Alligator mississippiensis: one gene and its partner. The protein of the gene in region 2 interacts with the protein of the main gene of each other region in a pairwise test. Links are inferred from orthologs where the notes say so. Each region holds a gene or a part of one and is shown on either strand. Other genes may lie near its edges.

Region 1 (6,004 bases), on a different chromosome or scaffold from region 2:
CTAATGCTAAATCTTTGTGGAACCAGAACTGGTTCACTAAATATGCATAACAAAAACATTTACATTTCTTGTACTTCATACACGTACTTTGGACACAGTCTCCAGCAATCTATCCGCCAGTTCCTCTTGACGTGGAAGAGCATCTGGGTCAACTCTCATAAGCATCTTCCAGTCTAAGTTGGGGGCCATCTTAAGTTTAAAATAGCTTTGTTTCTTCCCTGAAACAACAACAAAAATAATAATGATCATTACATTAAAGCTAAAACAATTGCCAAACGCAAGAAAGTGAATCACAGGAAACAATACAAGACTTTACACCTTCCAAGGGTGAACTGTTTCATTGGTTTACACTCTTCCCACATCTAGATTACTTTTGCAAGCATGAGGGATAGAAATGTTCTTTTCCTTTTAAATAAAATCTTGGATACTGCACAATATGAATGCATCACTGGGAGATATATATACAAGAACCAGATCAAGCACTACATTGATACCTCTGTCTTATCATCTGCTTCTCACAACCTGTTGACCAAAATCTATCATGAGGGTGCTATTAAGCATTAGAAGCAATACACCCACCCAAGTGTAAGTTTCTTTCTACTGCCTATAACCAGCCAGTCTACAACTAGGTACTGCAAAGTTTTTGTGTATTATTGGACATTATGTGAGGACCTGGAAAAGATTTTACATGAGGTAGAGATTAATTGTTTGCTACTGTTCATTGGCTGCTCCTACCCAGGCTGACAAAGTCCAAATAGAGCAATTAGATCCTACTACATATAAATAATTTACTTATTCTCCTTATGAAAATGGCTCTCACAGTTGGAAAAAAAAACAAGCAAGTCAGTTGCTGCTAGTTGACGTAGAAAATTAGAACAGATATTTTGTGCAAATTCTCAGATAGGACCTCTGTACAGTGCTGCAAGACCTTTGAGATCTTTTTCACCATTCATTTTACTAAAGTTGTGGGAAATTTCTGCACTATTAGAAACTGATTCACATTCCTCTGCATTAAATGAACCCTGGGTAGAGATTTGCCAACTTAAAACTTCCTGCCATTACCATCCTTCAAAAACTTTCCTATAATTGTCTGAACAGTCTGCCAGAAAAACTTCTCCAGCTGTGCAATTAAGCTGGGATACAAATCACTCATTTTCTTTGCCACCTCTCGGTTTACTAGGAGTTTTAAAAAATATGCAATATATGTATATGTATATATATGGAGAGAGAAACATAAACCGTTTGAGATTAAGAACAGACCAGCGTCTGTTCTCAGGCCAGCATTTACGCAGGTTATGCACTTATCCAAACTTTCATTTAAACTATCAATATTTAAGTACACAGTCCTGTTAGTGCTGTGGTATTAGCAGCCCGGAAAATGACTATCCTCCCATCATTTTAAAGACTTCTAATAGTCACTCTTGGAGTTATTAGAAATCATGAAAATGAGATGAGATGACAATCAAGGAAATAAATACCCCTCATCATTGTCAAAGCTTAATAGCTGGCCTTTGACAGCTGCTGCTCCTTCGCTGCACAACTAGGATATGAAGTAGAGTGGTTGAAAGATACACAGGCCTCTAACCATTTTATGCATCTAACTCATATGTGGATAAGAAGAGTCTGTTACCATACAAGCAGGTTGCAATTTTTTGCCTGTTAGCACATGTATCAATTATTTGCATATGGATTAAATGTATAAACCAGGTAGCTTCTACTACCTGCTGTGTAATATAATTTTAATCCATGTAAATACATAATATCTGCGACAGAAAGGCTGAAAGGAAACAGCTGTCAAAAAGCTGCCCTTAAAAGCCTTGAAACTGACCAGAGCATGCCAATTTCAGGGCTGCTTTTAAAAGCTTTAAAAATGTCCAGAAGCCAAGTCATTATCAGGACTGCTAATAGCCCTGTACAGTACTGAAAAAGACTGAGATAGGATATTGTGTTCTTAATGAGTGCTGCTTACACTGAGTTTGGGTAAGTTCATAAATCAGGAAAATACACAGCCTTTTTATGTTTCCAGACAGAAAGCTATGCATTTAAACAGAGTACATTATGATGTCTGATTTCCCAAGGAAGATGTGACAATATGCACATATTTCTGATCTAAAAATTCTCTAAATTAGGGTGAAACCACAGAAGGACCTCATGCAGAACACAACAAAATACCTTCTGAAATAGGAGAACAGGTCTGTTATTTGAGAGAAAAGATGACAAATGAAGACAAAAATATTCCTGGAAAAGAAAGAGATGATAACCCTGTCAGAATAAAAAGCAGAAAGAGAGCCTAAGACAACAAAAAGGCTAATGACATCAGTACAATGATTATAAGAGACACGAGATGTAATGACCTAGAACCCCAGCCCCTACTGTTCTGAACCTACTGTTCTGAAAGAGCTCATAAATCCTTCACATGTTTAACAGCCAGGAGGCATCCAGGAACCTAAGCACAGAATCATCTCCCCTCACCCAGCGCCCATCTGGGGCAGCACTTGAACCACACAACCTGCTGCCTGGAGGAGAAGAAATCAATGGATTTATTATTATTATTATTATTAATAATAATAATATATTTTGTGTTCCAGGTCAAATCAGCTAAATCAGTTCCAAATCATATTGACTGAGCAGAAGTCAAGCGCTCCAAAAACCGTATCAATGGAGCAGGCAGAATTCAATCTTTCTAAACACCATGTATGGTGCTACAACCAGCATTCTCAGCCCCAGGCTCTCACCCTGGGACTTCACATCCTCCCAAATCCACTGGCAGGTGTCCTAGTTGCAGGCCCAGGCCCGCAGGTCTTGGCATTCGGATGCCTGCAGATGCTACAGGAAATCATCCTTCCTCCCAGACTCTTTAGTCCGGGACTTCAGATACTTCCCACACCTGGTCTTAGTGTGTAGTTTAAGTGACAACTGCTCTGACAGGAAAAAATGGACTTTCCCACCCACCCTCCTCGCCCCTGCACCGGCCCGTGCGCTCTACACGGAGCGAGAAAGACCTCGCAGGTCCGGGGAGCGAGATGAGCTCCACCGCTGCCCATCTCTCGGAGCCGGACACCCAGGCAGGCGACTCCTCTGACCCTTGCAGCAGCAGGCCCCGAGCAGCTGGAGCACCCCCGGCCGGGCACCCCCGAAATTGGCCGCGCCCACACGCCTCCTCCTGCCCCTCCGCGCGCTGGGAACCCCCCACTAGAGCGACGCTCTCCCCCGCCCAGCGGCACCCGAGGGACGCCCTGGCCTGGCCCAACCCGGCCCTCACTTGTCGCCCCGGGCCCTACGGGAAGCGGCGGCCGCTGCTAGGCGACGCCATCCACCAGCCCCGCTGCTTCCGAGCCCCGGATGGACGCTCGGCCAAGGCCAAGCCTACAAGCCCCAAGGTGCACGGCGGCACCAGGCTTGGAACGTGAGGCGCCGCTCGTTAGAGACAGCTGTGCCGCGGGCGAGACGAGCGAACTACCGCTCCCAGCATGCCCCGCCACCTGCCGGCAACTACGATTCCCGGCTGCGCACTACACCCGGCATCCTCCGCGGCTGGTGGGGAGGGAGGGAGATGGTGCGCACGCGCATTGCAGAAGGGAGTCACCGCCTCAGGCTCGGCGGCAGCGGCGGGGCTGGGGACATGGAGCCTCGCGGCTGGGAGGCAGTGTTAGCCTGCGGCGCCAGGTCTGGAGCGGCCCGGACGGGACGGGACGGGGCGGGGCGGGGCGGGGGCGCGGAGCTCGTTTCCGAGCTGGTGCTGCCTGCGCTGCTCCCGGGAGCTGAGGCCGGCCCCTCCCCCGGGGCGGGGTCGGGATGCGGCGCCTCGGGGCGGGCGGCCGGGGCCGGGGGCACCTTCGACAAGAGTGCGAGGCCCAGGCGGAGCTGCCCGGGGCTGCGGCGAGGCGCAGGGTGAGCAGAGCCGGAGCAACGAGCTGTCAAAAAGAAAAGGGCACGAGGTCTCCCGCGTGAGGCCAGGAGCTGCTGAGGGCCGGGGGCCAGGAAGGCGCGCTGCGCCGGGGGCCCTCGTGGCTTTCTCTGAAGCCCCTGGGGCTTGGCGTCGCCTGCCGGACTGATGAGATGCCAGGCACGGCGGCCCCGGCCCTCATAGCAGAGGTGCAAAGCTGCCTCTCCCTGTGAGCGCCTCTTGGGGCCCGGTGGTGCCTGTAGGGCCCTGGGTCTATCCGTGCACCTGGGATGGTCAGGGCATCGGGGCAGAGCACAGGAGATAAAGGGGTATAAAGCCCATCTTCGTGTCCGCGCCCCGCAGAACGGATTTGGTTACGAGTCTGAGAAGCTTTTCAAATCGCCAGTGAGAAGTTGAAAACCACGCGGAGGTGGACATTACCAGATGGGGTTGGAAACGCTCAGCTCTGTAGTTTTGGGGGCAGTCACAGTACACTCTGTTTTCACAGAGGTGCGAAAAAATGCTGAGCAAAAAATGTGTCTAATGTAGCAATGTTTTAAGTATGTAAATGGTTAAACAACAATTTTATTTATACCGTTTACTGTTTAGAAACCTCCAGCAGGAGCAGCCTTGGCCTATGCCCCTTGTGTCTTCACCATACAAGCAGCTCTGCGTGGGCCCCAGGCCACTGGCAGGGAGCTGTGGGTGGGGGATAGTGGTGTGGCTGAGCCATTTGGGGGTGCAGCCCAGCTGTGGAGCTGCGGCTCCTTCTCACCATCGTGGGCTGGGGCTGTGGACAGAGCCGGGGCTGCGGACCTCTCCTGTGCCTGGATCCCACCACCTCAGGGAAGCAGGGAGGTGCTGGGTCCCCCCACATGGGTCAGGCGGGGCCTTCCCATCCCTGTGATGGGTTTGTCGCCCCCTCATCTCCAGCAACAAGGTCCAGGTAGGGTGACAGGGTCCTGTGCCTTCTGCCGCACTTATGCCACTGTGGCCTGGACCTGAAAGGGCTGCTAAGAGGTCATTGCTGGCCCCTCGCATGGTGAGCACAGCCTTATGGCATTCTTTTGGAGCAGCAGGGATCCCAGGGGGAGTGTTAGGGCTGAAACAGCAGCCTCCTAGGCTGGAGCTCATGAATGCTGTGGGGCTAAGATCACCGCTCAAGGAACTAGCCTCAATCCCCTCTCTAACCTGGAGCTGCCTGCTACAGCTGCCATGGTGCCTCTTTAGGCCATGCCAGCCCTGCCTCAGGGCTGGGCCAGGCCCCAGGTAGCCCCATTGCCACAGACAAGAAGGGGAAGGACATAGTGCACCTGGCAGAGGCCACCCCACTGGGTCTGGACCTCATCTTCCCCCAGGGCAAGCTGGGGAGGGCTTGACCCAGCAGCACAGAGACTTCCAGGTCCAGATCAAGGTGGGACAAGCTCAAGGAATCTGTTACCTTGCCTGGGCCCCGCTGCTATAAGGGGCCTGGGAAGACCCTCCATGGAACTAGGAGTCTTGCTGCTGTGATGGGAAGGCTCCCCTGTGGGGGAGCCCAGCACCTTCCTCTGTTCTTTCCTCCCTGTGGCATGAGGATTTGGACACGAGGAATCTGCAGCTCCAGCCTTGAGGGCTGCGGTTCTGCAGCTGGGCAGCACCCCTTAGTGGTTTGGCTACACCTGCTGCCTCCAACCCATGGCTTCCTGCCAGAGGTCACTACACTTTGAGTTAACTGTTTAACCAATATAATTTGAGGAGATTAAATGGATAACTTTTAAAACAATATTTATATTTACATTCCTGATTTAAAGGCTGTGTTTCTCTCAGCTGTTCAGTCTATCCCACAGATGACCCTACCTGTTAGTATCATCCTGATGTAGTCTTTTTGCCTAATGCTGTTCTGCTACTTGAGGGTCTGGTGCTGTAATAGCACCTGGATAAGACAGGGAGATAAGAGAACTTCATGGGTGTTTGCTCTTCATTATGGAATTAAATTCAAAGTAAATATTCTGGAGTAATTGCATTGTGTGTCTGAAGCTTTACTCTTCTGTTACTTTTCTTAGCTCAACATTTTAGTTGAGTAAAATGTGAAGATGATGATGAGGGTTTTTCTGAAACATTTCTAGGGAAATAAAG
Region 2 (6,004 bases):
ACAGGGCAGGAGACTGACTAGGCCACTAGCCTCTGGCAGAAGCATGTCACCTTGCCCAGGATTAAAGCTAGGAACAAAGCTGCGGCTGGGACAGCACCACTGTTTGCTAGAAGAGTGCCAGCACTGTACACCTTACAATTCCCATATTAGAGGAAAGATAGGCTAGAAGATACAGGCATGGGCACCCTCCCCAAGTAGTTTCAGCTGTGAAGGACAGCTGACTCCATTTCACATGGCCTGTGACATGAACAAGACTTCCCATGGACTAGTTCCAGTGGAGACACTGGTGGCTCAGTGCTGGAGTTAAGTGGCATGTTGAAGGATCAACTTCCCCCACACCTACTCTTTTACCTCTGTAGTATAATTCACACATTTAAAAAGAAAACACAGATACACAGAAAGGGCAGAAAATTGAACCACTGGAGGGGACACAGCAAGCAGGATGTGCCTTTTCTATTCAAGTTTACATTTAAACCAAGAGACAGTGGAAGTCCCTGGGGAAGCATCAACCAGGAGACGCGGTTTGTGCACAAACTGATGGAACTAGCTGGTTGGCTCTGGTCCCTGCGTGTCAGTTTGCATGTTCTGCTCCTCACTCAGCTGCTGCTGAAACTCTAGACGTGTCTGCCGGTTGGACTCCAGCAGCTCCTTCAGGCGGGCATGGAGGTAGTCATTCTTCTCTTCCAGGTGATCCAGGCAGGAGTTGATCTGGTCCAGCATGGAATTTATTGCTGCATATTCTAGGAGGAAGTAGAACAATTTCAACTTCTACTCCCCCTGTTCAGGCCAGCAGGGACCACATTGCTAGAACTCTTACAAATATGCCCAGAATATACAAGGCAGCATGTATAGGTAAAATGCAACTGCATCTTGTCACATAGATGTGGTTTGGATAGTCAATAGGACACGGTGGTTTGGGTACTTGGTGATGTGACAGGGTTTTTTACCTCTGTGCAACAGCACAGCCTGGGAGTGGCCATCTAACCTGAACTATTCAGACTTGCAGGCAAGTTGTTGGGTTCAGGCCTGTTCCCAAGGAAATGGCTATCTAAAAATGCAAGAAATCTGAACTGATATCAGGGTTAAATTAACCTATTCAACTCCTGTGGTAGGTTTGTCTGCTCAGGGCATGGACAGTGTGGCAGGGTACTACAGAAGAGCTTACACTGCCTGGAGGACTTGCATCTTCAGGGTACTTAATCTGGGACCTGTCACTTAAGGGTCTGGCCTGGGTTAAACTGCTACAACATCACAGCATCTCTCATGGTTGAGGCGGGGTGAATCCCATTGCAAGGGCCAAACGGAAACATCTCAACATCCCAGGAGCAATAAAACTGGAGGCACACTGATCCATCCACCCCAAGCTGTTAACCCATTTACTGAGACCATGCTAGTCAAGTTTGACCATTTAAGACCTCACATGGGAGGAGAAGATCTAGTCTAAACCAGCTGTGCGGGATCAAAGTTGCATGCCACACAGCTGGCACAAACTGACCTGAGGGCAAGGCTCAAGCTGGTTCCCCAGCCTAGTTTGTTCAAAGGACAAGATGAAATGTTCATTCCATTCAAGTATGATTGAATTGTATAACAAAGAATTAAATTGGCTTTCATTTGGAGACATGTCTTTCATGTTACCTGAAGCAACACACCTGCACAGTCATTACCATTATGAAATGCTTGGGGCACAGCCCTACCCTCACTAAAACTTCAGGCCTGCACCATACGCTGCCATGCCAAGATTCCTGACCCTGTTTCCGTTTTAGGTGTGACACTGAAGTAAGCAACTCTGACTTGAATGGGAACACAATGAAGTGGCTTAGATCATGCCAAGTGACCCATCCCTGGCCTGGGACAGTACTGTTTTGAAGCTTTCAGGATATTTCATCCTCTGACCTCATGAGATGCCAGGGCCTGTGTCAGCAGCCCTCCTCTCCCACCAGACCTCATGCAGCCACCATTCAGTAGGGAAACAGGAGCAGCACACAGCAGAGTTACAGAGGATCCTGTGCTTGGAAGTAAAAGGAACTGGCAACTGGTGCATTGAGTTCATCTTGTCAGTTTATTTTGTGTGTCCAAGCTACAAGTCTATTTTTAAATCAGTACTGGCCTTATGGCTGGGTCCCCTGAACAGAACCACCGTTAATCCCTGTGTGCTGCATTCTCCTCTCAGCTATGGGCACAGGAGGCCACACTGGAAGAGGTGCAGTTTAGAAGTTTAAGTTTCAGCACAGCCTCTGAGAAAGCAAAAGCTTTTTGGACAACTGATAGCTGTTGCTGCATTGCTCTTCCCCTTGTGACAAAGAAAACCAGAGAGAGTGGAGACCCCTGAAATAGCAGAAAAACTCTTTGCAAATAAGCAAGGAAGGAGAGCCAGATGTTCAACCCAGCAAGGAACATCACAGGTGTTATCAGATACTCAGCAAATCAACTGCTGAATGTCTGCAGAAATGCAACATGAAGCCACAAGGGGAATATACCAGAGGAGCATCCTTCTGGTATGACACAAGCTGTACCAGGGGAGGTTCAGCCACCCAACCAATTAATGCAGACAGTAGCCACTGGCAACTCCACTACAGAAGAGCATACCAAGCTGTCAGCAAGTGACAACAGGACCGTGTGTTGTTTCTGGAGAGCCAACACACAAAAAACTAAGATTTAACAGGACTATGAAGTCATCTACTGAGTCTCCACTGGCAATGATATACTTTGGAACAAATGCCTTGACAAGACCTAGAACTATACAGATACAGAAAGCTTCAAGAGATCTTAGGAAGGAGCTATAGAAAAGTCCAAACTCTCTGAGATCCTACAGGTCTACCAAGCAAGCAAGAGCAGGCGCTGAAGGTGAACAACTGTCGATTCCCTGGCTGCTGCACAGCTGAAAAAACTGAAAGGAGCATTGAGGGGTGCCACAGCCTGCATCCCACTGGCAGGGGTCTAGTTTTCTCAGCCGGAGCAGCAAAGAGGACATGTCCCGGAGCAGTGGGGAGGCATGCAGAGACAAACCCAGTACAGACTGGGGTGTGTTCTGAACAGGGCAATCAGGATTCATAGTAGAGAGGATTTATTAAACCAACAAGATTTTTGCAAAAAAAAAATACCTTTAATTGCAATTCCTTCTGAACAAGCTATTCCAGCGTGACCAAGGAGGAGGAAGAAATTTCCACTTATATGGTAGCGCAACAGTGATGCAGCCCTGACGGTCCAGAGGCGAGGATTTGATTGGGCCAAGGATGTAGGTGGGTAAGGTTAGACACGCTCCCCAGTGCAAGGCACTACAAAGAGAGCCCCGAGGAAGAGCGCTCGGCATCCCAGACCTTGCACCGCTGGCGCAAGCAGCGCTCGCCCTCGCCTCTCTCCGCAGCAGAGGGACGGGGAGGCACAGCCCTTCCCACGACCGAGGCCTGGCTCCAACCCCCAGTCTCCCCGCGGGGGCCGAGCTTCAGGGAGGCGGGCGCACTATGTGGCCGTTTTGCCTCGGGCCAAGCAGAGCCGGCTCCTGCCCGGGCGCCGCTCACCTTCCTCCCCGAAGCTGTCCTCGCCGCCGTCCTCGCCCGGCCCCGCGCCGCCCGCCACGTGCGGCTCCCCGTTCGGCCCCGACATGCTGCGCCCGGAACTAACGCCGCCAAGCCCCGCCCCCTGCCCGACGAGGGGCGGAGCCACCTTGACCCGGAAGGGGGCGGAGCGATGGCGGGTGTGTCACGTGGGCGGGGCTTGTGGACAGCGCGGCCCCGCCCCGGAAGTAAAGTGCTTGGTTCTGGGTAGTGAGTGAAGCTGGCGAGTCTCGGGAGGTTCTTTGGGTCTCCTGTGCGGGGAGGGGGCGCAGGTGCAATCAGCAAAGAAGCCCGGGAAGTACCCCTAGTGCAATCGGAGAGCCACAGATTGCGGGGCTGGAAGGGATGTGGGAAGATCAGCGGGTCCAGGCGCCTGCACCAGGCAGGAAAGAGAACTGGGGTCCGGTGCCCGTCCATCACCCCTGGCCAGTGGCTGCCCCCCCCCCTTGAACACCTCCAGTCATGGGGAGTCTCCCGCTTCCCTGGCAGACGAGGGACTTTGCTTGAATCCGATCTCTTTGATTAGACCCGCTCCAATCCTTGGAAAAATTCTTCTTAGCAAGCTGTTGGGTTTAAACCCAATAGCTTGCTAGTGAGACTTCCAAGGATTCGAGTGGCTCTAATCAAAGAGATCGGATTCACCCAAAGACCCTCCTCTGCCCGCATCCTTAGACCAACTCAGCTGCACCCTGCGCCCCCACAGCTTCCCTGGGCAGCCCTTCTGCAGCACCTGTGGCTTCATAGGGGACTGGAATATCTGTGCTGATCAGCTGGGTAAACCTCTGAGATCTCAGATAAGGGCTGCTGTAGAAGTGCAAACGGTTACTATCCGCTCCTTGTTTTTATGCGTTAGACTGGAGAAGCCTGGGCCAGTACTTTGCACCAGCCTAGCACTCAAGGTGGGGAATGGAGGGGCATGAAACCACATGGAGATGGAAAGGAGGGGGCTGCCCTCCTTTTCAGAAGTGCAGCCTTCTCCTTTCCACCTCCATGTGGATTCATAAAGCAGAGGGGAGGATTAGACAATCAGTGCAGTGACAGCAGAGGGTGGAGATGAGTAGACTTTCTTCAAAAGCGGGGAAAAAAAACCTCACTAAATATTCACAAGCACCATCTTGACTTTAGTTTTCCCTGTGAAAAATTGCTCTGCTGCTTGCAGAGAATGTTTTATTCATGTTCGTCCACTCAGAGGCAGACCAGGTTCTTTGTGTAAATGTGTCATCTTATATTCAACCAGCTAAATAGTTGTTCTTTGCAAGGTTTTAGGCACAAATGCCCTTCTTCAGGCAATCAGGACTCATAGTAGAGGTGATATCTTTTATTAGGCGAACAGGATTTTTGCAAAAAAGTTTCTTTAATTGCAAGCTTTCGGACACAAACACCCTTCACCGGGCATGGGAGAAAAGATTGTAAAAGTCCTCGAGTAGAAATGAAAGTTCATATTTCATAGGCGTTCACGGAGGAGCCAATAGATGGACAACTCCTCTGGGCAGGCAGTTCATCGCTGGTCTGGACAGACAAGGCTTTTTGGTTGAATCTGATCTTTTATTAGACCAACTTATTAGCGGGTGTGGAGCCTCTCACCTCCCGTGAGGTCCTGCCTTGATGCAGATTGCCTTGAAACAAAGGCAGGATCTCAGGTTTCAGGTGCTCACCCTTGCTTCCCACTCGGGAAAATATGAAGATTTCATTTTTAAAAACCAGCTAAAATTCGATCTCTTCCAGGTGTCGGGCATCCAGGTTGTAGCCGTATGGGTCTAGAGGAAAAGGCGATCCGGACTTGGTCTAATAAAATAAATCGTCTCGACTAGTACAAGATTTTTGCAAAAAAAATCCAAAAAAGTCTTTCATTGCAAGCTTTCGGGCACAAACACCCTTCATCAGGCATTGCAGGTGCCTCTCCCTATGCCTGAAGAAGGGCGTCGGTGCCCGCAAGCTTGCAAAGAGCAGTTTCTCCCCCAGCTCTTTCGCGAGTCTAAGACGGGCGGACGCCTCCACCCAAACACCCTCGTGAGCCGAGCCGGACGCACCGACCCGCCGGGCCTGGCGGCGCTATTTCAACAGCGCCCGGCAGGGGGCGCTGGCCCGGCAGCCGGCGGAGCCGCTGTATCTTTAAAGCCTCCTGGGTTTCGGGGCCCGCCCGCGCCGCTTTTTGCAGGTGAAGATGGCAGCTGCCGGCCGCGGCTGGCGGTGCGTGCGGCCGCTCACGTGGCGGGCGCGGGTTGCGGCCCCCGGGCTCCTGCGGGCCCCGGGCAGGGCCTACTGCGTCCCCTCCGGCGCGGGCCCGGCAGCGCGGGGCCGCCTGCTGGCGGGGGCTGCTTTTGCCTTGGGGGGCGGCTTCGGTCTCTACCAAACCCTCCAGCATCGCTTGAAGACCCGGGAGCACCTTGCAAAGCAGGAGCCCGCCCAGGTACCTCCCCTCCTCCTCCCGGCGCGGCCCGCGGGAGCGG

Evidence for each region. The genes of interacting proteins can lie anywhere in the genome.
Region 1: the proteins of BBLN (region 2) and CEP290 interact in binary tests that used the Homo sapiens proteins (3 or more experiments, as listed by UniProt). The two-hybrid records come from large-scale screens. The link is inferred for Alligator mississippiensis from reciprocal best matches to the Homo sapiens genes BBLN and CEP290.

Annotation. Positions count from the first base shown.
Region 1 is NC_081827.1:84,380,455-84,386,458, forward strand, and holds the start of CEP290 (centrosomal protein of 290 kDa), read right to left. Parts: upstream 3,362-6,004; 5' UTR 3,263-3,361; intron 2,917-3,262; exon of another isoform or gene 2,736-2,916; intron 2,239-2,735; 5' UTR 2,173-2,238; intron 219-2,172; 5' UTR 190-218; coding exon 88-189; intron 1-87. UniProt on the Homo sapiens protein: Involved in early and late steps in cilia formation. Its association with CCP110 is required for inhibition of primary cilia formation by CCP110.
Region 2 is NC_081835.1:57,734,241-57,740,244, forward strand, and holds the start of BBLN (bublin coiled-coil protein), read right to left. Parts: upstream 3,635-6,004; 5' UTR 3,604-3,634; coding exon 3,519-3,603; intron 741-3,518; coding exon 544-740; 3' UTR 1-543. Other genes in the region: PTGES2 (prostaglandin E synthase 2), read left to right, coding at 5,719-5,964. UniProt on the Homo sapiens protein: Essential for intermediate filament organization in intestinal cells, interacts with intermediate filament and regulates intestinal lumen morphology.